4 linked regions of the Caenorhabditis elegans genome follow. The protein of the gene in region 1 purifies or fractionates together with the protein of each later gene. This does not show direct contact. Each region holds a gene or a part of one and is shown in the gene's direction. Other genes may lie near its edges.

Evidence for each region.
Region 2: the proteins of ift-74 (region 1) and osm-5 purify together in Caenorhabditis elegans (affinity purification with mass spectrometry, with the first as the bait; one study listed by BioGRID). This does not show direct contact.
Region 3: the proteins of ift-74 (region 1) and osm-6 purify together in Caenorhabditis elegans (affinity purification with mass spectrometry; 2 studies listed by BioGRID, with this or other methods). This does not show direct contact.
Region 4: the proteins of ift-74 (region 1) and che-2 purify together in Caenorhabditis elegans (affinity purification with mass spectrometry, with the first as the bait; one study listed by BioGRID). This does not show direct contact.

Annotation. Positions count from the first base shown.
Region 1 is NC_003280.10:6,678,190-6,684,048, forward strand, and holds ift-74 (Intraflagellar transport protein 74 homolog), read left to right. Parts: upstream 1-1,866; 5' UTR 1,867-1,944; coding exon 1,945-2,035; intron 2,036-2,114; coding exon 2,115-2,296; intron 2,297-2,454; coding exon 2,455-2,560; intron 2,561-2,609; coding exon 2,610-2,896; intron 2,897-2,950; coding exon 2,951-3,458; intron 3,459-3,905; coding exon 3,906-4,151; intron 4,152-4,203; coding exon 4,204-4,481; intron 4,482-4,532; coding exon 4,533-4,643; intron 4,644-4,691; coding exon 4,692-4,757; 3' UTR 4,758-5,355; downstream 5,356-5,859. Other genes in the region: H43E16.1 (VWFA domain-containing protein), read left to right, coding at 1-413, 458-597, 655-732, 780-851, 898-1,102.
Region 2 is NC_003284.9:2,982,677-2,990,293, forward strand, and holds the start of osm-5 (Intraflagellar transport protein 88 homolog), read left to right. Parts: upstream 1-1,586; 5' UTR 1,587-1,601; coding exon 1,602-1,682; intron 1,683-2,275; coding exon 2,276-2,338; intron 2,339-2,686; coding exon 2,687-2,756; intron 2,757-2,807; coding exon 2,808-2,912; intron 2,913-2,962; coding exon 2,963-3,008; intron 3,009-3,058; coding exon 3,059-3,368; intron 3,369-3,777; coding exon 3,778-4,003; intron 4,004-4,049; coding exon 4,050-4,287; intron 4,288-4,709; coding exon 4,710-4,917; intron 4,918-5,238; coding exon 5,239-5,540; intron 5,541-5,586; coding exon 5,587-5,737; intron 5,738-6,642; coding exon 6,643-6,758; intron 6,759-6,837; coding exon 6,838-7,041; intron 7,042-7,090; coding exon 7,091-7,302; intron 7,303-7,450; exon of another isoform or gene 7,451-7,552; intron 7,553-7,617. Other genes in the region: nspg-5 (DUF19 domain-containing protein), read left to right, coding at 787-920, 973-1,111, 1,164-1,359.
Region 3 is NC_003283.11:11,924,102-11,929,215, reverse strand, and holds osm-6 (Intraflagellar transport protein 52 C-terminal domain-containing protein), read left to right. Parts: upstream 1-1,769; 5' UTR 1,770-1,809; coding exon 1,810-1,839; intron 1,840-1,887; coding exon 1,888-2,003; intron 2,004-2,385; coding exon 2,386-2,473; intron 2,474-2,551; coding exon 2,552-2,672; intron 2,673-2,721; coding exon 2,722-2,854; intron 2,855-2,942; coding exon 2,943-3,084; intron 3,085-3,131; coding exon 3,132-3,218; intron 3,219-3,330; coding exon 3,331-3,450; intron 3,451-3,495; coding exon 3,496-3,605; intron 3,606-4,029; coding exon 4,030-4,226; intron 4,227-4,271; coding exon 4,272-4,546; 3' UTR 4,547-4,595; downstream 4,596-5,114. Other genes in the region: F58H1.2 (uncharacterized protein), read right to left, coding at 60-111; aman-2 (Alpha-mannosidase), read left to right, coding at 300-1,050, 1,102-1,384; R31.2 (ANK_REP_REGION domain-containing protein), read right to left, coding at 4,884-5,114.
Region 4 is NC_003284.9:479,927-487,034, forward strand, and holds che-2 (WD_REPEATS_REGION domain-containing protein), read left to right. Parts: upstream 1-1,523; 5' UTR 1,524-1,524; coding exon 1,525-1,688; intron 1,689-2,638; coding exon 2,639-2,727; intron 2,728-2,822; coding exon 2,823-2,933; intron 2,934-2,985; coding exon 2,986-3,254; intron 3,255-3,301; coding exon 3,302-3,439; intron 3,440-3,659; coding exon 3,660-3,784; intron 3,785-3,831; coding exon 3,832-4,008; intron 4,009-4,051; coding exon 4,052-4,126; intron 4,127-4,605; coding exon 4,606-4,831; intron 4,832-4,883; coding exon 4,884-5,091; intron 5,092-5,134; coding exon 5,135-5,382; intron 5,383-5,896; coding exon 5,897-6,159; intron 6,160-6,204; coding exon 6,205-6,328; intron 6,329-6,441; coding exon 6,442-6,507; 3' UTR 6,508-6,578; downstream 6,579-7,108.

The DNA of each region.
Region 1 (5,859 bases):
CCTCAACTCAAACAAATCCTAATACTGGATCTACAGGATCAACTGTAACTCAGCCATCGGCATTTTCAAGCACTTCTGCATCATCATCAACTCAACCGATTGCATCATCAACTACAGCAAACCCAGGATCATCTACCAGTGGACCAACAATTGCAAGTACGCAGGGATCATCTTCAACTCAAACAAATTCAAACACTGGATCGACCACTGTAGCTACTACTGTAACACAAGGATCCTCAACTGAAGGGAACACTGGGTCAACTACTGTAAATTCTCAAAGCAGTAGTGTTGCATCAACAGTAGCATCCAGTACATCTAACATTGTCTCATCCACTTCCCAAGCTCCAACATGTGCTTCTCCGTACAGTGGAAAGATTGCAACTGTTTTTGAATTGAGTGCAAACAGTGCGACGGTAAGAACAATCGTTTTGCCAATTTTTAAGTTTTAAATTTCCAGAATGTTGTAAACTTTGTGACCAATAATTTGTACAACTCAGTCAACTATGATTTTACTTCAACTACACAAGCAATCAATGTACCATATGGACAAACCGACAGTTATCCTACCAATAAATTTTTACAATATGGTGGGGCAAAGTATGTTTAATTTATTTTTGTTTTTGTTCAAATAACATAGCACGGCAAATATTTCAGGAGTTTAACGAATCTTCAAGACAACATATCTGATTTATTAGATAGTGCTATTTTGATGATGGATTCCACAATTTCCGAGTGAGTAAAACATTTATCAAAGTTCTGATTGATTAATGTATTTGCAGCGGGCTTCAATGGCTTCATGCTAATAGAGATCCAGCTGGAACAAATGCAGTTATCATTATTGTTGGAAACCAGTAAGATTTGTGAATTTTCAAATTTTTTATCAATCTACAATTTCAGCGATGATGAAAACCCCGCAATGACTACATTCACTCTTCGAGACCTCAGAGCACAAGGATATAAAGTGATTTCGGTAGCTGTTGGTGAAGGTCATGGAGATTTTTCCCTAATTCCGGATAAACAAGAATGGTATTTCCAAGTAAACGATTCAAATGGACAAAATATTGCTGATCAGATCTCATCTATTCTTTGCAACTTGAAATAATCATCTCCCCACTGATATCTTTCCTTACTGTGCAAGTTTACCCATTTCTTTCAGAAATAAATATATTACCTATAACAGAGCGCTTGATTGGTTTAAATGTGTCGCTAAAGGTTTCTCTAAACTTGGAAATTTTGCAGGAAATCATCTTTTATTGCGTCGATTATTTTATACACGACACCAAAAAAAAACATAAATAAAAAGCAAAGTAAGTTTTCATTAAATTCCTTAATTAATCAAAAACTTTAATTTTTCAGAAGTATATCTGATCTTCAGAGTAATATTGATACTCTTTCCACCAATGCTGTCTTATCGACAGACACTACAATTTCAGAGTAAGATATACATTTTTCGATAAACAAAATTGTTTAACTTTTTTCAGTGGTCTCAAGTGGCTTAGCGAGAGTTATCCGGACGGAACAAATACTGTTACCATTGTCGTTGGATACCAGTAAGATTATTTATATTACACGCCGTCTTCAAATATATATTTCAGTGTTGATGATAACAATGGAATGACATTACTCTATCTTAAGACTTTGAGAGATCAAGGTTATAAAGTTATAACGGTAGCTGCTGGTGTAGGACATGGAGATTTATCTGGAATTGCTGACAAACCAGAATGGTCTTTCCAAGTTAATAATTTCTTTCAACTATGTGGGTTCAATAAAAATATTACATGTTTCCATGGAAACGGTGTTCGTATTCTAGAGCGCACTTTCTCACATATTCCATAGCTGGAGTGTGCTTGTTTCTATGACAACTAAACACGCATCAACCACAAATACGTTATTCTAATCGCTTCTATTCACACAAAAGAGGTATTCATCTGAAAAATAAGAAGAATGGAACGCCCATCAACTGCATCTTCTCGTCCTCGAACCTCCACCGGAAGAGCACCGTCGGCACGGGCTAGACCTCCATCTGCAATGAGAGGTAATAGGGAAATTGTATTTTTCTTACCAAATCTATGTAGAAAAATAATAATTTTCGTTACCTAAAATAAAATTTGTAGCTCCTCCACCACAACCAACATACGAAAATCGTCCAACGACTGGAATGTCAATGAGAAACGGAGGGCCTCCTGTTCCTCCATCACGAAGTGGTATGATTCCAGTACCTCCGTCTAGATCTGGTGGACCTCCTGCACCGATGCCTGTGTCAAGAGCTGGGGGACCTCCAAGAGCACCTACTTCTGTAAGTATAGCTATAAAGCATCAAGAAAATCTACCTATCGGAAATAGATTTCCAAAATAAATTTCTAAAAACAACACTGACTGAACTTTAATTTTAATTGAGATTTAGATAGCACAATAGTAAATACATATTTTTCAAAATTTTTAATACATTTCCAGATGGGTGGACGCCCAATGACTGGAATGGCAAGACCTCCAACAGCCGGATTGAGACCAGTTACTCAACAAGGATTACGAGCTCCTCCGTCAAGAATGGGAACTGGAAGTATGTATATTCTAGACTCCATTCTAAATTTTAATCAAACATTTTCCAGACTCCCGTCAAGTATTTGACAAATCATACTACATCGGAGTTCTTCGAGCGAAACAAAACGCTATAAAAGTTGAAATATCTCGTATGAAAGAGAAACGAGATAAAGGAATAAAAGATCGAAATGAGCTACATGCATATGAATCAAGAGCATCTGCTCAAGCACAAGAGATTAGTGATTTGCAAGGAAAATTATTGGATTTGAATAAAATAATGGAAAAAATTCATTTGAATGGCGATATGTCGGATATTGAGTTAGAAGCAAGCAAAATGAAGGAACAAGCTGATGAGGTTAGATTACTGTAGATGAAAGATCACTTTAAGTTATAATTTATATAATTATAGATGAGATCATTAGCTGAAGAAGTATTTAATGAACGTCGTGCAAAAGAAGAGGAACTTCAAGGATTGGAAATAGAAGTTGAAGAACAAAAAAAGTTAAATGAAGCAGTAACACATGCAATGGATCCTCAAATGAAAGAAAAATATGAAGATTTAAAGTCTGAAGCGAAGCTTTTAAGAGAAAGAGTTGTAGAAATGGAAGCGAAAAATGAAGATTTAGATGATAGAATTTCAAAATATGAAATTGAAATTCGAAGTAATCCACTGAAAAAGAAGGCAATCCAACTACAAGAAACATTGGATACACTCAAAAAACAAGAGGAAAAACTAATGGAAGATATGCAAAGTGCACTAACACCAGAAGCATGGAGAGATAAAATGTCAGAAAATATGAAACAATTGAACGCAGATTTGGTTGTGATTGAGAAACAACACAAAACTGTTAAAGATCAAATTTCATTGGCTTCAGAAGAATTACACGAGTATGACTCACAAGGAGAAGCTCAAATCAGTACGTTTCCTTTTTTTGATAAGAAACTATTGTGCATTTGTGTTTGGTATTTGGTATTTGAAATGACGTATCTATTAAATATGTCATTGTTTTACCGCAAATAATTCTTCATGGAATTGTGCGTACACGGTCTTATAGGTGGAGTAGAGTTTGTTTTATATGATAGATAATGAACCTAAGTTGGCAAGGTTGAAGTGGCTTATGTAATTTTAATACATTTTAGAGCTGTAAAAATTTTAAGCACTACAGTCCATTTTCAATCATTTGAAACAAAATACCCACAGACACTAATCAATACATTCAATATGGCAATACAATATCAATACGTTCAAGTTTGACCATTATGGGATTTGAAAATCTGAAAATCTGAATTTTGAAAACATGACATGCAGATCACATTAAAAGTTAGAATCGAGTTTCAGAATTCAAAAAATAATAATATTTCAGTGGCTCATCACACAAAATATCTTGATCTACTTTCGAAAAGCACAATGCTTGACGATACGACTGAAAATTATCCACAGCAAATTGTCATTTATCAGCAAGACATTGAAGAATTCTCCGACGCAGTTGTACTGATTTTGAGAAAAATATCTGCCAATTTGAAGAAAGTGAATCTAGAAGATCAGATAACTGATTTAGATGAACGAGGTCTCACTTTACAGACCGGAAATGTGGATGAACTTAAAGAAAGTAGGTTTGATGAGCGATTAAAAATAACCCTCATTAAAAAATATTATTTCAGTGCATGTTCGACTTCAAGAAGAGCTTATATCAATTGAGGATATGGAATTGGCGTTAAATGAAGAAATTGATAATTTGGAAACTGAGGAGAAAAAAATAGATCAGGAATTGGCGGGAGTCGGGAAGAATGTAGATTCAGATGGGCTCCGACAAGAGCTTGAAGAACGTCAAAAAAGGCTTGAAGATGAAGCTCCAGCTCGTTCACATGAAATGCAACAGTTAGAAGCAAATGTAGCAAGTATAAGAAATGAACTTCATTCAATTCCAGGATACTCTCAAGTGAGTCGATATGGTTCTATATTAGTTTTACCAATTATAAATTTATTCCAGCACAAAATGCTTCGCGAACGACTGGAAGCTGTTGAGAAACGTACTGCTGCAAAATCACTTGACATGAGCTTGAGGAAGACTGAAATTGACTACGAAGATATTAAAACAGAGGTGTGGATTTTTTCCTAATCGAGTTAACAATATTTTACTTAATTTCAGAGCATTCGACTTCAGGAAGAATACAATAACATGCTTTTGACCAATCCATTTCAAAGATTCACCTGATTTATTAATTTTTCACTAAATTTATTTATTAAATTTACATTGAATATGCTGAACTGTTCCTGAAACAGCAAAAAAATTATTGGAAAATACTAATTAAAAAATTGAAAAATCTTTGCCTACAGTAGCTTTAAGGAACACGACAAACTTTATCTGAACATGTCTCGTCACGACTACCGTACCTTGAAATTTTCCCGCCCGATTTTCGCAATTTTCTTGCTGATGAATTTCTTTGTTTCTTTCCTGATTTTCTCGATTTTTAATCGTGTTTTTGTTTTTAGAATTTTTGGAAATTTGAGGAGAAGATATATATCAAGTATGAAGCACCCTTTCCGCAAGGTCGCCGTAGTTCCTTTTTTGTTTCCGTCGTTTTACCCTTTTCGGCGATCTTTTTGATTGATAACGTTTAAGTAAGGCTAGTTTTAAATTGAGTTTTCTCAATTTTTCTTCAATTATAACATTTCCATCATTTTTGCAGTCAAATAATATTGTAATTCTATTTAAAATATCGTTTGATTATATTTTGAGAACCTTTATTGATTGACTGTTAAATATAACGAATATATTCAACAGCTTAAACAAACAAATAAAATAAGTTCTATCTGCGCGAAAAGCTACAAAGGATACGAAGAAAAGTCAAGAAATCAATTCAAAAATTATGCCTAATTTTACATAGCCTTTTTTTTTGCTTGATAACGATATATTCACAACATTTTCTGGCTAAAGAAAGGTGGAAACGTTTTGTTGTTCTTCCAAGTTGTAGCTCGGGGGGCCGAAAAAAGTAGGCGCGATGCGGTCGACCGCGACGCAACTCATTTCTCTGCTTCTCTTTATTTCAGTAATCTTTGTTTCGTGGCGTGGTCTCGAGAAATAAATAGACGCAGGGTGTGGTGAGAAAATTGTCCGCAACCACCGCCCGGCAGCTAGATATTGAACCAATATCTCACGATAAACTTTTACCCTTTGCATACATGCTAAAATGAGAATTAAGAATACAGTTTTTATAGTAATCTGAACTTTTCGTTTTTTAAATGCCTGATAAGATTAGTTACTCGGGCTTCTGCCACGTAACATTCGTCTCTGCGTATCTCATCTTTGAACAAGC
Region 2 (7,617 bases), on another chromosome or scaffold:
AGAAAAACTGTAACAAAAAGATAAAAAATTTCTAATCTATTTTTGGATTTTTAAATTTGCAAAAATCAAAGAAACGTCGGAATTAAATTTAAACTCTCGCGCAAATGAGTGACGTCATTTTTAGACCTTTTTACGTTTCCTGCCTTCAGCGATTTTTCATGGTTTTTTTCCAATATTTGATTTAAACATCGTTGTCAATTTTTTAAAGATATTTACCCTCAAAAGTTAGAATTAAAATTATATTATATATTGTCGATTTTTAGGCCAATTTTAAAATTTCCGCAAATTTCTATCCAAAGTTCTCTTCACGGAAAAATGCTTGAAAATTGACGAACAGTGATACAATATTTCAAAAATTTCAAAAAGATACAATATTTCAAAAATTAAGAAAAATCGATGAATTTAGCCAAAAAAACGCGAAATTATCAAAAATGATGTCACTCATTTGCGCGGGAGTTAAAATTTAATTCGGTCGTTTCTTTAATTTTTGCAAAATTGAAAAAATCATAAGAAATTCAAAAAAAAAATTTTACAGTAGTATTCAGGTAGTACGGTCCATTCTTAGGACCACTGCGACACAAAAATTGGCCTAAATTAAAGCTAAAATTATTCCTTTTTTTAATTCGAAACTGCCATAAAAAAATTTGAAAACGAGTTTGTTGAGAAGTTTCATTACGAAATTTGTTTATTTGAGCACATTTTGAGTTTATATGCTTCAAATACTCAGAACCGTTACTCCTATAAATATAATTCTCGCAACATTTTAAAACTTATATCTGGTCTCAGGGCTTATCAAAGATTCAACAACTGCCTCGGAGGGAGCTACATCAAACAAGCCTGCTATCCGCACGAACCGCTAAAGTCTCGCTATTCCGTTGTCGATTCAGTCTTGGATTATGTTTGTGGAGAAGGATATCAATGTATGACTTAGGAAAATTATCCTGTAAAGCGTAGAATTTGGAAAATTTTCAGCAATGCTCAACAACTGGAATTGCTACTTGTCTGTTGCGGAAAGCAGGGAGATTGCAATGTGTGAAGCAAGTTTCACACAATTGGCAAGAAACACTGAACAAATGTACAATGATTATTCGTCAGGAGCCGGAGCATGCTTGTGAGCTTTCATATTATAGATTTAATTGACAACTGACAAAAATGGCTTTCAGTGCACTTCAATCATATACCGACTGCATTCGTCCTGCAATTGAAACAACCTGTGGACTTGGCTCTTTTCTGACAGTTATCCAAGCAGTTGAACGGCCAATTCAAATTTACCTTCCATTCTGTACACTTTCTTCGTCCGCGATCTCATTTGTTCAATCAATCATAATTTCTCTTGCTGTTTTCTTGTTTTGCCTATAATTTATTGTTTTGAAATTGAAAGACTCGAACCCCATAACTTAATATTGTCATTGAAAACCCCTCAGACCTATACATGTATAAACTATTGCATCTCATTCGGTGTTACACTCTCTCTCTTGCTTACATAGTTACTATGGCAACGCTCCGCTAGCTTGACGAAAATTGTTTTCTCTTGGGTGCCATGGCAACCAGAACACCAAGCAGCGCACTCTTCTCTATTTCTTCTGAGAACACTTTTCTTAATGGCGAACAGCACTTTTCGTGAAGATGATGACGATTTTTACGGCGGTTTTGATTCGTATGATAAAGCATATGATATTCAGGTTTGATAATAATTTAAAAATGAATAAGAGTCTATGATTTTTTGCTATAAATGATAGTATTACTGTACAACAATTTAAACATTTTTTTCTAAATTTTTAAATATTTTTTTCAATTTTGCAAAAACCAAAGAAACGCCCAATATGATTATAAATTTCCGCTCAAATGAGTGACGTCACCTTGGTTTTTCTTCATTGTTCTTTTATATCTCATTTGAAACTTTATTTACCAATTTTAAGAGCATTTTTCCGACAAAAAAATTGTATGTCAATTTTTAGGTCAATTTTGAAATTTCCGCCAACCGGGTTTCAAATAAAATATAGCAGAAAGTATCTGAAAAACATAAATATTTACCCGAAAACGCAAAAATATCAAAAATGACGTCAACTTTTCCGCGCGAATATTAAAATTCAAATGAGACGTTTCTTTGATTTTTGAAAAATTGAAAAAAAAAGAATCAAAAATTAAGGAACATTTGACCCATTTTTTATAGTTACATTTGGCTATTAGGGCCTATTTTTTATCATTTCAAGCAAAATTTCTAAATGATTCTACTCCTCCTGTAAATACGCAATAATAAATGTGTTTAATTCAGAACATAACTCAAAATCCACAATTTCAACAAGCCGTTGCTAGGTCGAGCCATGGAAGGCGTCCGGTGAGTGACAATTGGAAAATAAACTGTTTTGTATAGTAATTAGAAATTTTTTACCTTAAAGAGAAAAATTTTTAAAACTTCAATCAAAGGAGAAATTGAGTTTGTGTGTTATTTTGCTTAAAAAATACTAAAACTGACTAAATTTTATGATTAAACTTTTTTTTCTAAAAAATTTTTCCGATTGGTAAATTTTACCTTGCTGCTCCGGTCCGAAACAGTTTTAAAAAAATCATCAGCAAAAAAAAAAAAAAAAAAAATTTCGGGCAAAGTTGACCTTTTTTTGACTTTTAAAATCTTTGAAATTTTTTTGAAAATTTTTATTACAATTTATTACAATCTTTTTCTAAGACTGCATCTCAAATGGGATTCCGAGATGCTTCCTCCTCTTATGGAAAACCGCCGGGAACGATGATGGGAAGTGAGTAACCAACTACATTTTTTTTTTGCAATCAGGATCCGTTCTTTTCAGATCAAAGTCGAATGGGCGGTCGAACAGCCATGGCTAACAACAATGAACCTGCGAGACCGATGACCGCTGTCCGCGGAGCCGGATATACATCCTTTGCAAATAAAGGTGACATCCGCACCGTCCTAAACTATTTGTTCACAGTCACTTTTTTTCAGTTCAAGCCGCAGAAAGACCACTAAGTACCGAGAACTCGGGTGAAAAGTAAGAATATATAGTTGCGAAATTTAGTTGAAAAATCATGTAACTTGTAGTGGTGAAGAAAAATGTCGGCAGATGGAAAACAAAGTAATGGAAATGCTCCGAGAAAGTATGCTGGCTAGTGAGAAGAAAAAGTTCAAAGAAGCGCTGGATAAAGCGAAGGAAGCTGGGCGACGTGAAAGAGCAGTTGTGAAGCACAGGGAGCAACAGGGATTGGTAGAGATGATGAATTTGGATCTAACTTTCACCGTGTTGTTCAACTTGGCTCAGCAATATGAAGCGAATGATATGACTAATGAAGCGCTAAACACTTATGAAATCATTGTAAGGAACAAAATGTTCCCAAATTCTGGGAGACTAAAGGTAAATATAAAAGTTTTTCTTAAGGATATGTATGTCCTAACAAAATTTTGGGCTGCAAAGTTCCACCCATCCAAATTGTGATATGAAATTGTTTCAGTGCATTTTTAATACTTTCAAGTTCTTTAGAATTGCTCCAAATGCTTTTTCTGCATACTTTTAATAATTTTCAAATTGGTTAGATGTTGGTAAAGATTCTGAAATGTTTTGGAAATTTCCAGTTTTTTTAAAGAGTCAAAATTTCTTAAAATCTCCTAGTATATAAAAACAGCGTTTGGAGCAATTCTACAAAGCTTGAAAATATTAGAAATTGTGCTGAAGCAATTTCAGATCAACATTTGAAGGGTTGAGCATTAACAGTAAAGTAAAATTTTTTCATTATTTTGACTAAGCTTAATATATATTTTTTCAGGTTAATATTGGAAATATTCATTTCCGCAAACGTGAATTCACAAAAGCTTTGAAATACTACAGGATGGCTTTAGATCAAGTTCCGAGTATTCAAAAAGATACAAGAATTAAAATTCTCAACAATATTGGTGTAACTTTTGTCAGAATGGGAAGTTATGACGATGCCATAAGCACTTTTGATCATTGTGTGGAAGAAAATCCGAATTTTATTACAGCCCTCAACTTGAGTAGGTTATCACTAGAAATTTGATTTTTTTTAATGTTATTTTACAGTATTGGTAGCATTTTGCATACAAGACGCAGAAAAAATGAGAGAAGCATTTGTGAAAATGATTGATATTCCTGGGTTTCCGGATGATGACTACATGAAAGAGAAAGATGATGATGATGTTTTGTTGAATCAGACCTTGAACTCGGATATGCTGAAAAACTGGGAGAAACGGAACAAGTCGGATGCTGAAAAAGCAATCATTACTGCAGTGAAGATTATTAGCCCGGTTATTGCTCCTGAGTGAGTTTTGAATGTCAGGAAAATACAGAGTAAGATGACAAAAAACAATTGAAAATTTTTTTGTCGGTTGTTAAAAATTTTCAACTGAATTTGTGTCGAAAATTCTAGTTTTTTTTTAAACAAAAAAAACCAAGTGAAAATATTTTTACACTTACAAAAAATTCAGGATAGAAATCATACTTTTTTTTGATAATTTCGAGATCGAATATTCAAACCCAAATTTTTTGTATGTGCAAAAATAGTTTGCACTTGGTTAGGCACAATATTTTTGGCAACCGACAGAAAATGGTTTGAACGAATTTCTTTCAAAATCTTTTTGTATTATTAGTTGGTATTATGTTGTCCTTCCGGTTGCGTAATTCCGTTATATAAAAGTTTTTGATATACATAAGTAAAAAGATAAATAAATAGAAATCTTCCAGCTACGCTATCGGCTATGAATGGTGCCTTGAATCTCTCAAGCAGTCTGTACACGCACCATTGGCAATTGAACTTGAAATGACAAAAGCTGGTGAGCTGATGAAAAACGGAGATATTGAGGGAGCAATCGAAGTGCTGAAAGTTTTTAATTCGCAAGATTCCAAAACAGCCAGTGCGGCTGCAAACAATCTTTGTATGCTGAGATTTTTGGTAAGTTGAAAGTGGAGTATAGAAATTGTTAAAACCAGTTATATGGTGCCAAAATGACCAAATATCAATGTGAAATTTTTTTAATTCATGAAAATTCTTATTAACAGTCTTATTAACAGAAAAAGTTGCAAAAAGATTTGAGATTTCTCCAATTTTTCAATTTTCAAAAAATCATATAAAATTTAGATTTTTTTTTTGGAATTTTCGCATTTTGATAATTGGTCATAGTGGTGTCATAGTCATGTCATAATCATGTTTTAATGCAATTTCAATTTCCCACCGGCACTTCTCTACCTCATTTTTGCATATTTCAACTTGCAGCAAGGAGGACGCCGTCTAGTAGATGCACAGCAATATGCTGACCAGGCACTTTCAATTGACCGCTATAATGCGCATGCTCAAGTCAACCAAGGCAACATTGCGTACATGAACGGCGATTTGGACAAAGCTTTGAATAATTATCGAGAGGCGTTGAACAATGACGCTAGTTGTGTTCAAGCATTGTTCAATATTGGACTAACTGCAAAAGCGCAAGGCAACCTGGAGCAGGCACTTGAATTTTTCTACAAACTTCATGGAATCCTTCTGAATAATGTACAAGTGCTAGTGCAATTGGCTTCTATGTAAAACAGAAACGTTATGAGTGTTGAAACAAAATTGTTACTTTAGATACGAGTCATTGGAAGATTCTGCACAAGCAATCGAGCTGTATAGTCAGGCAAACAGTTTGGTTCCAAATGACCCTGCAATCCTTTCCAAGCTGGCGGATTTGTATGATCAAGAAGGTGACAAGTCTCAAGCATTCCAATGTCATTATGACGTCAGTTTGTATAATTGAATATTATGGGACCGAATAAATTCCGGGTCAAAAAAATCATAACTTTTTTCGCTGCTTATTGATTTTTCTAAAACTGTAAGAATTTATGGTATTAAAGATGATTTTTCATTTGACGGTTATTTCAAATAGGTTTTACCACCCAAGTGTCCCTACCCGGAGCCACTTCTGTTCAGTTCATAACTGAGGTTTATAATAGGATTTTTCAAAGTTGTAAGTCTCAAGTCTTATGGGGAAGTAATGTTACAAAATCTATTTTAATACATTTATGGCGTCACAACTGTATTAAAATACATTTTTTTTATGTATTTTAATACAGTTCTGACGTCATTTTTTTCACTTTTTTAAATTTCCGACACTTTTTGTATAAGTTTTTGAAAAAAAAATGCTTTCAACAAAAAAAAATTTTTTTGTTGAAAATTCATGATTTTTTTTACAAAATTGTTGCAACCTAGTGTAAACTATTTTATTTTTGATTTAAAAATTTTTCTCGAAAAATTCTCAAAAAACTCAAAAAGAGCTCGAAAAAATCATATTTTCAATATCCATTTGAGTAAGACATATTGAACTCGGATGTTTTGTATGTGTAAAATTAGTTTAAATTTGGTTGCATCATTTTTTGAATAAAAAATCAATAAATTTATATTTTAAAAAATTCCTGAAAATTTTTTTAACGACTTTTTTGAAACTTTTATACTTTCAGTGTGTTCTTACAATTTATTTCGAATTAATCAAAATCCGCCTTAATTCCTTAGTCAAAAACTAAAAAGGAGCAAAAAGTGGCTCCGAATAGTTTTAGAAAAATTGATCAGCAGCAAAAAAAGTTATGTACTATAACCAGGAACTTATTTAAACCCATAATATAAAATATCCGACTTATGGTTTTTCAGAGCTATCGATATTTTCCATCAAACCTGGAAACCGTTGAATGGCTGGCTTCTTATTATTTAGAAACTCAGTTTTCTGAGAAATCCATCAACTACTTGGAGAAGGCTGCCCTGATGCAGTAAGTACTTAATTTCTAATGTTTCGTAACATTAGTCTTGCGTCATGATGAATAAAATTATGAATAATGTGCGCTTCAGGCCAAACGTTTCAAAATGGCAAATGATGATAGCCAGTTGCCTACGACGGACAGGCAATTACCAAAGAGCTTTCGAGCTTTATCGTCAGATTCATCGCAAGTTCCCTCAAGACCTCGACTGCCTCAAATTCTTGGTTCGAATTGCCGGTGATCTTGGAATGACGGAATACAAGGAGTACAAGGATAAACTGGAAAAGGCTGAAAAGTAATATAAACATGCAAATAGAGAAAATTTCAAAACAAGCGAGTTATAGAATCAATCAACTCCGTCTACAACGGGAAAGTGATTCAAGCCAAGGAAAACGTCACTCTGCAAATTCAACGCATTCCCTTCCCCCATCCGGCCTGACCGGTTTGGGATCGGGGTCAGGTGGTTCGAGTGGTGGTGGCACCCGTCAATACAGTGCACATGTTCCTCTTTTGCTGGATAGTGGCACCCCGTTCACGGTGGCCCAACGAGATATGAGTAAGGGCAATGGAGTTAGAGAGTATAGATTAGAGAGAGTATAGATTAGAGAGAGTATAGATTAGAGAGAGTATAGATTAGAGAGAGTATAGATTAGAGAGAGTATAGATTAGAGAGAGAGAGAGAGAGAGAGAGAGAGAGAGAATCAAGGGGTGCGCGGCAATTGCCGACCGTCAATTCAACAAAATGAACCAGTGCGGAATGTTTTCTCAAACTAGGGCTGTGCAAATCGGCGTCGTCCGATTTTGACACCACCGAACGCACATGCATCCGGTTTGGGGTAGGTTTCCACGGCGGCCGACAATTTCCGAGTTT
Region 3 (5,114 bases), on another chromosome or scaffold:
TTTATCATTTTGTACGCATCCTAGTGCAGTTTATGAAACAAAATATTTCAGTAACTCACCTGAAACTGCGGATACAGCTAGAATAACTGCAGCTGCATAGAACATCACCATTCCTGCGTAGAAGCGCGAAATGATACAAATCAGCCGTTGACATGATAAACAAGTGATTGAAATAAGGCGATTTGGGTCAAGAGATGCATCCGTTCTTCACTCCTCTTCACTCTCTCACTTCTCATCCCTTCAAAATCTAGGCTTTTCCTCCAAATCTTTTGTTCGCTTTAAAAATGTTTTTCTTTCAGTCGCAAATGGAAATGAAGACAACCCGGCTGGCGCATACCTGTTCCTTCCCGATGGAGAAGCTAGAGAACTCAAAAAACAATCAAGTGATTGGATATTGGTAAAAGGAGAAGTTGTTCAAAAAGTGTTTGCAACTCCAAACAATGATCTGAAAATATTGCAAACGTACACACTTTATCAAGGGCTTCCATGGATTGATTTGGATAATGAAGTTGATGTACGTTCCAAGGAGAATTTCGAGTTGGCACTGAGATTCAGTTCTTCAGTAAATAGTGGTGATGAGTTTTTCACTGATCTCAATGGAATGCAAATGATAAAAAGGAGACGACAAACTAAATTACCAACACAGGCCAATTTCTATCCCATGTCTGCTGGTGTTTACATTGAAGACGATACTACCAGAATGTCAATTCATTCGGCACAGGCTCTCGGAGTTAGCAGTCTCTCGTCGGGACAAATTGAAATAATGCTTGATCGACGACTTAGTTCAGATGACAACAGAGGTCTTCAGCAAGGAGTTAGAGACAACAAACGAACAGTTGCACATTTCCGTATTGTTATTGAGCCGATGTCTTCATCGAGTGGTAATAAGAAGGAAGAACGAGTTGGATTCCATTCACATGTTGGTCATCTCGCTACGTGGTCTCTTCATTATCCTCTTGTCAAAATGATTGGAGATGCAACACCAAAATCTATTTCTTCGAAAAATGTGGAACAAGAGCTGAACTGTGACCTGCATCTAGTGACATTTAGGTGTTAAAAAATCTGAAATCTACAGTAACCCTCATCTTTAATCATTTTCAGAACACTGGCATCGCCGACAACTTACGAAGCCAACGAAAGATCTACGGCAGCTGAGAAGAAAGCAGCGATGGTGATGCATAGAGTTGTTCCAGACTGTAGATCCAGGCTTACCCTCCCAGACACGTCATGCTTAGCTACTGGATTAGAAATTGAGCCACTCAAATTGATCTCGACACTGAAGTCTGCGAAAAAAACGTCACTAACCAATCTTTATGAAGGAAACAAGGCTGAACAATTCCGACTCCAACCAAACGATATTTCCAGTATTCTTGTATCATTTTAATTTTATAATTGCTTATATGTAGTAGTTATATTTTCAGTTTTCATTACATTTCATGGGTATTTATTTATTAACTATAATCTTGTATAAGACGATGTAATTATGAAACAACGATTTCACACTTCCGGTTTTCATGTAAAATTTTTTTCGTTCCAAATAAATTGTTATAAAATTAATTACATCTTTCATCAAACTTCAAAAATGAAATTGCATTTTTAATAATTAGGAGTCTATTACGGAATTCATTAAATTTCAGAAAACAAAGTTAACTATATATTTCTCTAGTAGTTCCTTTCCCAGGAGACCCTTCCAAGATTTGTATCCACATGTTACCATAGTAACCACTCATTGCTTCTCGCTCACATTGTCTGCTCCCTCTCTTGGGGCTTATATCTCTTTCAAGCTATTACCTTCATTAGTATACATCTATGCCTCCATTTTCAGACGAAAAGATGACTGTAAGTATTAGATTTTAGTTTTCGCATTTTATTATTTCCATTTTCCAGAACCGGAGTATTGGGAGAAAAGTTCTGATTGATCAATCAAAACAGCAACAAATTAGTTTGATTAGTGGTTTTCGTGGTGTGGCAAGACATTTAAAAAGTGTTCTTACTGTTGAAATGTGAGCTTTTTTGGAATATTTAACATTTTATACATTAAATACATAGTTGAAAGATTTACGATTTATGATGAAAGAATACGATACCCGGTCTCGAAACGAATTAAAATCGGATCCTGCGAAGAAGCAGGTTTCTTGTATTTTTGTTTCTCATTTTCTTATTTTGAATTCTTTGGAATAAATATTCAAATTATACTGAACAAATTAAGCTGCTATTTAAAAAATAAAAAATAAAACGAAAAAAACAAAATATTGGAAACTACAGTACTCCTCGAAGTCGAGCAATCCTTTGCGCGGAATTGTTTTGCTCGCGTCGAGACCTGCTACCGTAATTTTTGCCAAATTTGAATTTCTCTCGCAGATAGATAATAATTTTTAAATTCAGAAACACAGAACCAATTAACTTAAATGGATTAGAAGATGTTCGGATGCTTATCATTCCACAACCAAAGACATCATTTGGAACTGGAGAGGTTTAGGATTTTAAATTTTATTAAATTTCATTTGATTGTCTCAGCCTAATTTTAACACCCAAAAAATTAAAATTTAAGATTGAAGCAATATGGAAGTTTGTGGAAGAAGGTGGTTCATTGATGATCCTTTCTGGTGAAGGTGGTGAGAGACAATCATTAAATGAAATGATTGCAAAATATGGAATTACTGTGAATAAGGGTATGTCTTTATCAAATTAAATGAATTACAAAAATCATCAACATTCAAGATTCGGTAATTCGTACTGTATTCCTGAAATATTTTGATCCGAAAGAAGCTTTAGTAGCAAATGGAGTCATAAATCGAGCAATTGCAGTGGCTGCAAAAAAGAATGTGAGCACTGAGCAAAAACATAATTCACAGTGAGTTGAACTATTAGCTTTTTATTTATTTAGGACAAAATTCGGTTTCCGATTTTCCAAAAATAAAAAAGTGATTTCAATATTTCAGAGCACTTTCATTCATTTATCCATATGGATGTACTCTAGATGTGAATAATCGTATGTCGAATGTAGTATTGTCTTCTGGAAGTACAAGTTTTCCAACAAGTCGCCCAGTTGCCGCTTTTCATGAGACAAAACTCAATGAAATGGTATTAGAATATTCTGAAATTGGTACATTAATTCATATTATTTTCAGAAAAAGAAAGGTAGAGTGTGTGTGGTTGGATCAGTCTCGATGTTTCATGACACATACATCGATAAGGAAGAAAATGGAAAGATTTTTGTAAGTGTATTTTTGATATGGTTCGAAATAAACTTCCCCGGTTGGTTGAGGCGTGCAGGATGCGCCTCCCACCCGCCTCTTAACTCGCCTTATTGGAAAATTTCAATTTCAGGATACATTTGTGGAATTCCTGGTCAATGGTCTTGAACTGAACACGATAGATGCTGCAGAGCCGGAAATTAATGATTACACAAATATTCCAGATCATATTCATATGTCCCAGCAGATCAAGGTTTGACTTCAAAAAATTATACTTTCTAGACAAACTAACAAACAGGTTTGTATGTACGAAGGAGAATTGGATCAGGCAATCAGTTCGGATTTCATGAAGATTATGGATACTTCGTTGCATTCTTTTAATTTGAAACATTGGCCAATGACTATAAGGTACTGTGCCCTAAATACTTTCCCCTGACTACAGAAATATGTTTGTTATTACTAAGAAAAAGATTCAAGAATCATGCTTTCGAAAATGGAAACACGGTTTTACCCAATCACCAACTTTGCGATGTTTTCCTGAAAATACGGTAGCTGGTCTCGACACGATCAAATTATTTACGAATAAAGTACGGAAAAGAGCGTGCGACTTTAACAACTACCGTAGTACCTCACTCTGTTTTCTAATAGTCAAAAGAGAATAATGAGTAGTGTCACACTACAGTACTGTTTAAATTTTTAGCATTTAAAGGCGCAAGTTTCCGCGTCCTTCTTTTGAAATTATTTCGATATTTGGAAAGAATATTAGAATGAAGTTTACAATAAGTTTTAGTGTAAAACATCATTTCTACTTGAATAAACATTTTTATTCTAGATTGTATGAAGCATTGAATCTTTCACCTCCACCACTTACCCTTGTTGAACCTCAATTTGAACTTCCAATGCCTCCATTTCAACCTGCAGTATTTCCACCAACATTTCAAGAATTACCAATGCCTCCTCTTGAATTATTTGATCTTGATGAACAGTTCAGCTCTCCGGAAATTCAACTTTCTCAGCTCGCAAATAGAAGTAAGAGTTTTTATTCAGAAAAAATAATAAATGGAATAGTTTCAGGCGAGGAAGAAGATCTCATATTCTTTATTGAAAAAGCTGGTGAAATTACTGGAATATCTGCTGAATTGACAAGAAGTGAACGAACCCCCAAGAAAATAATTGAGTTGGCAGTGAGCAAACTCATGTTATTCAAACGTTCAATGATGGATGGAGAGTTGGAAGTTGCATCAGCGTTCGATATTGGAGAGCATGATGCTCATCATCAAAGTTTTAATCAAGGCGAAGAGATGGACGAGCAGCTGTTCTCTGATATTGATGAGTTCGATGATTTGTGATTGATTTGTCTGGAGATAAGATAATAAAATATTCATGTTGAAAAAAAAACGTTTTGGATTTTAGTGGGCACAATTGAAACGATGAAAAATGACCCGATACGGAGAAGAAAATGGTTAAATGATTGGGATATCTAACAAGAAAACGGTAAGAAATTGGATGATTAAAGAATACACTGAATACCGGGTAACTTCAGGCGGTGGATGGGCGGGGCGTGATGAGGAGGAAGAATGTATGAACTGGGATGGTGATTAGATTTCAGTTTTTCATGACTATTCTTTTAGAGTTTAGAAAGCCTATGTATCAACTATAGGGTAAAACTAATTGAAATCTTAAAGTTTACTTAAATTTCTTAACGTAGACGTAATAACCAAGACCGGCAACTCCAGCAACTGCAGCTGCAGCAGCCACATTTCTGACGACGTCTGGATTATTGTGAATCCACGTGGCCAAATCGCTGGGTTCGCGTCCTTCTGGAACTTGCTTCGACTCTTCGACAACTGTGGCTTTTGTTGATGGAGCTTGGTGTGCAGAAGCTGGTGGAACAAACGATGGTTCATGTTCTGATTC
Region 4 (7,108 bases), on another chromosome or scaffold:
GCAGAGATTTTTTTGCGATTCTGCGCTACCAGGAAGACTTTTTCAAGTTTGAAAGACTCGAAAGCTTTCTCAGCTACGTCTATGATCCTTATGTCGATTCTTTGAGAGACGTCTCATCAAAAGCGTTTTTGGTGTAGGAGAATAGAATTTTCAATGGTTTCATGAAATTCGGTTTTTGAACATTTTCTTTATTTATGTAGTTAATTATTATTTCTTGTATCTAATTTTTTTGATGTTTTATTAAATCCACTTTAACAAATTTAGAAAACATTATTTTCGTGGTATAATCGGAAGTTTTTATTTTGATTCAAACTTGACACCCAGTCCAAATATTTAGACAAAAAACTTTCAAATGTCCTAAATTTTATCAAACAGCTAGAACACGCATTTTTTTCACCAACAAGCATTATTTATGTCCAGATCAGGGGTGGGCGTCAATTTCCGTTTGGCAATTTTTTTGCGGCAAATCACCAAATTGCCGGTTTGCTGATTTGCCGGATGTTTTTAATTCCGGCAACTTGCCAGTTTGCCGACTTGCCGTGAAATTTCATTTTCGGCAACATGCCGATTTGCCAATTTGGCGGAAATTTTTATTTTCGGCAGACTGCTGATTTGCCGGAAATGTCTAGGGGGATTTTTTTATAAGACACTGTGCCTTTCTGTGAATTTTTTAACGTCTTTTCTCAATTTTTCATAAATTTTTTTACTTTTCAAAATAGATGTGGAAACATTTATAGGATGCCTACAATGTTGTCGATTAAAATTGAAATTCCGAAATTCCAAAAAAAAAAAAGTGCAAAACCGCAATTTGCCGGAAATTTCAATTCTCGAAGTTTGACGATTTGCTGATTTACCGGAAAAATTGTTTGCCGCCCACCCTTGGTCCAGATGAAAAGTGCAATTTCTAATTGACTCTGTCAACATTGTACAGAATAAACAGATTATTTCAAAGATTGCATTCACATTTAGGTATACATTTTTAACTGCATCTAGCTCTCAACCTTCAGAAATAAACAGGATTTGCTCCCCAATAATGATCCGATGATCAATAGGCATTACGAGCAGTAGCTCGAACAATGTACACCAAGTTATTTTTCAAGTACTACAGAATTTCGGGTCTTAAGCGGAACCGAGTAATCGTAGAAATCTCCCGAACAGTGGCGTATGCCTAGTACCGTCAAATGTAATTTAGATAAAAAGCAACAAAAAAATTCTCAGTTTTGTCTTCCATGTCTGTTTCAATTTTTTCTTTATTGAAATTTTATTTAAACAGACAAAAATTTGAATCTCCCTCATCTCACCAGATTCTTTGTTGATGTACACCTGCGGTGGTACTCTACTATTAGTTCCTTCTCCTCCCGTCTTGCCGCAGCTCTCTGAATTGCTGCCAGCTGGTTGTCATGGTGACTGCTCGCGCATGGCTCAGCTAGTGTTTGCAATACGTTTTTGGTTTTTCGTTAATGAACCCTCAGAGATTTGGGCTAATCAATTATTTTCTACAATTCAGGCTTTCAACTTTGCAGAATGAAATTAAAACTATCGGCGTCTCGGAAAACACGCCACACAGAAATGGTTTGTGGGGTGGGATGGATAGGCACCGAGGCCATATTGTCGGCAGCCGATGATCATGTTTTTCTGCTAACAAATACCGCCACAAATGAATCTCAACAAATTTTGAATATGCCGGAGTGAGTTTTTTTTTCATCATTGCGAGGCGAAATGCGACTACTCTAAATTAAAGGTGGGGTACCGAAATCTAGGAAATATTTTTAATTGATTCCAAATTTGCCCCTGGTTCACAATATTTAACTAGGGACTCTTTTTTGGTGACAAAAGAGTTATGGGACGAATTATATATTTTCTGAAAGCTAATACAATGCTCATATCGAATTCAAAATAAAACCTTGCCCAAATTGATGCTAAGACAAATGTTGTCCTCCGAATGCGTATTTAGGTTAAAATGTCATTGTTTTTGAAGCTTCATATCTCGATGGACTTCAAAGGTACAAAAAAATCAATTGACAAAATGTTAAGAATAACACAAAAATTCCATTTGATATGTTGCGTACTCCTGTAGTTATAAGCATTTAAAATATTAAAATTTAGCTTAAAATTTCATCGTCTCATATTTCGAAAGGAAATGGAAAAATTAAGTGTTCATATTAATAAACAAGGAAAAAATATATGGAGAAAATCATATAAGGCAAACGCGCTCAGAGGATTATTTATTTCTGTGCCTATTTGAAAAAGAAACCGGGGCACACATGAAATGTGTGATTTAAAGCTCAAATATAAAATCAGGGATTTTTTTTTGAATTTTTCACATTGATATTTGGAACCATAGGCAAATTTGGAGTCATTTAAAAATATTTCCCAGATTTCCGTACCCCACCTTTAAGTATGTACATACATATGTATATATTTTAATTTTTATAACAAAAAATCTAATTTACTTTTAATTACAATAAAATGATTACGATTTCATATCAACTGACTAAATTTGACCGATTTTCTCAGCTGCAATTAATTAGCTCAATGCAATAGAATGTTGCAGCTTTTGTGGTCTGACAATTAGAACTGCAGCAAAAACAAAAACTTCAATCAAAGAATTTTAAAAAATCAGAATTTTATATTCCAGAACTTTCTTCCCCACGAGTCTTCATATTTTTCCACGTTCCCAAACTAAAGGTGGTCAAAATGATGTGTTTGCAGTTTCAACTTCTGATGGTAAGTTTTTCTTTTGTATTTTTTTTTCATTCTTAACGAAAATGTATACGTATGGGTTTTGTTTCAAACCCATAAACACCGAAAATGAATTTCAGGAAAGATAAACATACTTTCGCGAAACGGAAAAGTTGAAAACATGGTAGATGCTCACAACGGAGCAGCTCTCTGTGCTCGATGGAATTCTGATGGGACTGGATTGTTGTCAAGTGGGTTCAATACTAAAATTTCAAAAAAGTATATAAAGAAAGTCAGTTGCAGGCGGAGAAGATGGGTTTGTGAAAATGTGGTCGCGGAGTGGAATGCTGCGTTCAGTGCTGGCTCAATTTGCAACAGCCGTTTACTGTGTGGCATGGGACTCTACGTCTTCCAATGTTTTGTACTGTAACGCTGACCATTGTTATATCAAATCGTTGAAAATGCAAGTTGCTCCGATAAAATGGAAAGCCCATGATGGAATCATTTTGTGTTGCGACTGGAATCCAACTTCGGATTTGATAGTGACTGGCGGGGAAGATTTGAAGTTCAAGGTGATTTTTGAGTCTATACTCCAATCTGTCTGAATTTTATACTATAGGTTTGGGACGGATTTGGTCAGATCCTGTTCAATTCTTCTGTGCACGACTATCCTATAACAAGCATTTCGTGGAACACTGATGGAACTCTGTTTGCTGTTGGATCTCATAATATTCTAAGACTATGTGATAAGTCTGGAGTTAGTGGTTGTTTTTAAAGAACTGAAACAATAATTTTTATTTCAATTCATTTCAAATTTTTTCAAGGCCAACATCGGCTATTTAAGCTAACATTTTCTCTGCTGCTCCACAAAAATACTGAACTAATTGCCCTCCATGAAAATTCATTTTCGATTTACCAGCAAATAAAAAGAGCAATTTATACTACTTTAACATCAAAAAAAAGTTTCAAAATTACAGTGGTCTCATTCTTTGGAGAAAATGAATGCTGGATCTGTGATGGCACTCAGTTGGTCACCTGATGGAACTCAATTAGCCGTTGGCACTGCTGCTGGGCTTGTCTTCCATGCACATATTATTGATAAGTAAGATCATAGGGATGATTTATTCATTACTAATTAGAAAATTCCAGGAGACTGACTTATGAAGAATTTGAAATTGTTCAAACCCAGAAAACCGTTATAGAGGTTCGAGACGTCAGCAGTGAAGTTTCCCGAGAAACTCTCGAAACGAAAGAAAGAATATCGAAAATCGCGATTCTATATAAGTATCTGATTGTGGTCACATCATCCCATATCTATATTTACAGGTATGATTTGAAAAGCAAACTAGCCTCCTATTTTTGTTTTCAGCTCCAAAAACTGGAATACTCCCACTATGATCGAGTACAATGAGAGAACTGTGAATATCATTGTGCAATGTGAAAAGTAACGTCTATTGAATGTTTTTGTACTTACAATTAGTAACTTAATAATGCAACAAAACATTTTTACAGAAACTGATAATTTTTGCTACAAACGCTATTAATTGAAATAATGGTGATTGCGTATTATTGCCCCACATTAATCAGTATTTGTTAATTTCATGTTGGGAACCAAAATTAAAATTTTTACAAACTTGTATGGGTTCATATTTTTAAAACATTGCAAGACATTCAGACATTCTCCATCGCACAAAAATCTTTAAAAAAATAAAATTTCAAATTGGCAAACTACAAATTTTTCAATCATCTTTTAAACCAACTGTTCACAAAACAAACGATTAAAAAATTCCGTTTTCTTCAAATTTTTTTTTGTACGTTTCAGCAAGTTATCAAAATTTGACGCGAATTCTTAATTATTAAAGTTATTTTCAAATCATTAGACTTCATAATTATACCAGCATAATGTGTGTATAACTTTTTAAGGATATTTCTTGTGTCCGATGGAATGACAATAACTATATTCACTTATGAGGGAAGAAAACTTATAAACCTAAACCCACCGGGTCAAGTAATGGCTCTACTAGACGAAAGAAAGATCGACCTGGCGAATGATACACTTGTGGTCCGAGATCGTGCCGACAATAAAGTCTTGCACTTTTTCGATCCAACAACAGGAAAAGCACAGGGTGATGGAAATTTGAAACATGAGGTACAACGTATATATTAACTATTATACATAACTAAACATTTCAAACTTTCAGCATGATATTGTAGAGCTGACTGTGAATCAGTGCGGACCACTCAATGATAGAAATGTTGCCTTCCGTGATCAAATCGGTGCAGTTCACATAGCTATGGTGAAGACTTTCGGTGTCAGCCAGAGGATGGTAAAAATAGGATCACTAGTTGAACAGCTTGTCTTCAACGATGTCACAAATATGCTGTGTGGAATTTCGGAAGGAAAGATTGGTAAGTTCCAACACTTTATTCTCAACTTCAACACATGTTTAAGCTGTTTGGCCTCTTCCAAACGTTGCCTTCCACGACAGAAATCTTCTACAGAAATCATTAATACAGAAGAACATCGGCAGCGTCGGAAAATTTCCACAGTTGGCTAATTTTGCCGGAAATACAATAGTTATCAGGAAATCAGATGGATGTTTACTGCCAACTGGGATTCTTCCGTTCTATGGAACACTCATCACAATGGCATCTCAATCAAAATGGGATCAAGCAATACGACTATGCAGAAGTATTGGAGTGAGTGAATGTTTTGAAAATGTAGATATGTCAAATTCATTCAAAATGCCGCACGGCGCATCTCACGTCTTTTGTGTAGTGCGTTTGGAATCAATAAAATATCATTCCTTTTATACAAAACAGTGACCGTTTGTTGACTATGTCCAAAATGGGCGTAGCCGAACATCGTGGCGAGACCCTTCGTGGTGATACCCATTGTGGCGAGATCCGTCGTGATGAGACTCATCGTGATAAGACTAAAAAATATTGACAAAAAATTCAAATTTTTTGAGAAAACAAATTTTTGTGGAAATCTCAAATTTTCTAAGCATTTTTTGGTGGAAAATTCAAATTATCTGAGAAAAAAAGATTTGGCGAGAAATTCAAATTATCTGAGAAAAAATGGCGGGAAATTCAACTTTTCTGAGAAAAGTTTTTTGGCGGAACTATAAAATCCATGAAATAGTTAGCGGGATTAATTTTGGGTGTAATGTATAAACGTGTTGCTATAAATGACCTATTTATCAAAATTGAGAATGACACAATGTGGGCGACTTTTGCTGGATTAGCTGTTCTCCACAAAAATATGATCGTTATGGAAATTGCCTATGCAGCATTGGAGGATGATGAAAAAGTTTCCCTGATCAACGAAATCAAAGACAAAACCGATAAAGAGACTCGTCAAGCTATGCAAGTGGTATTAACTGGAAAGCTCGCAGATGCTGATGTCTTGCTAGAAAGAAGTGGACTAAGCTTTCGCTCGCTTATGTTGAATATACAAATGTTCAAGTGGAAAAGGCAATTCATAATCAGATGTTTTTTTTTTAACTTGAATACTTTCAGAGCACTCGAACTTGGCTTGAAAAATAAACAGTGGCTCGAAATTGTAATGGGATATCGTGAGAAATACTTGAAGAACTGTGGACAAAAAGAGACAGACCCTCTTTTTTTAAAGCACATGTCAGAGGTAAACCAACTTGTGAAAGACAAAACATCAAAAACTTTTTTGAAAATTTCAATTTACAATACATATTATTTCCAGATACATTTTATTTTGAATATGAATAGCTTATTTTTCAGGTCGAAATCGACTGGGTGCATATACGAGAGCTGATTGCCGCGGAAAAAGCTAAAGGAAACAATTGACTCCATTTTTGTATTTGTTTGATGTACCCATTCGAATTGTTATAATTTACTCAAAAAATTTCTAATTTCAAGACAGCAGGGCAGAAGCTAGAAAAAATTGCTCCGAGTTCGAGCACTTGGGGCGATCGAAATTTTTTGAAAATATCATCAAATGAAAGTAGGACTTATCGCCACCCCTGATATATAATGAGGACACGATTTCTGAAAGCTCTGAGTAGTTTTGAAAATTTTAAAAATGTTTTTCAATTTTCCAAAAGCTCCGGAACAAGGATGTCATCACGGTAGCATAGTGTTAATGAAACAAAAAATCAACAAATAAGAACACTTTTTTCCAGATGTAAATTTTACACATTTTTCTCCATCTTACGGTTATATTCCTTTCTAACAATTTTCCTAACAATGGTCCATATATCTTTTGGTAGCCGGAGAGAAAAACTACTAGCGGCATTGACAAAACAGTTTTTATCTATACAATAAATCTGGGCTGGGAATAAATTCGGCACCTCACTCTTCCTAAAGAATTATCTTTTAAAGTACAGCTGTTTTTTATTTCAGACAAATGTCTTAAATATATAACTGATCTTAAATAAATTGAATACTC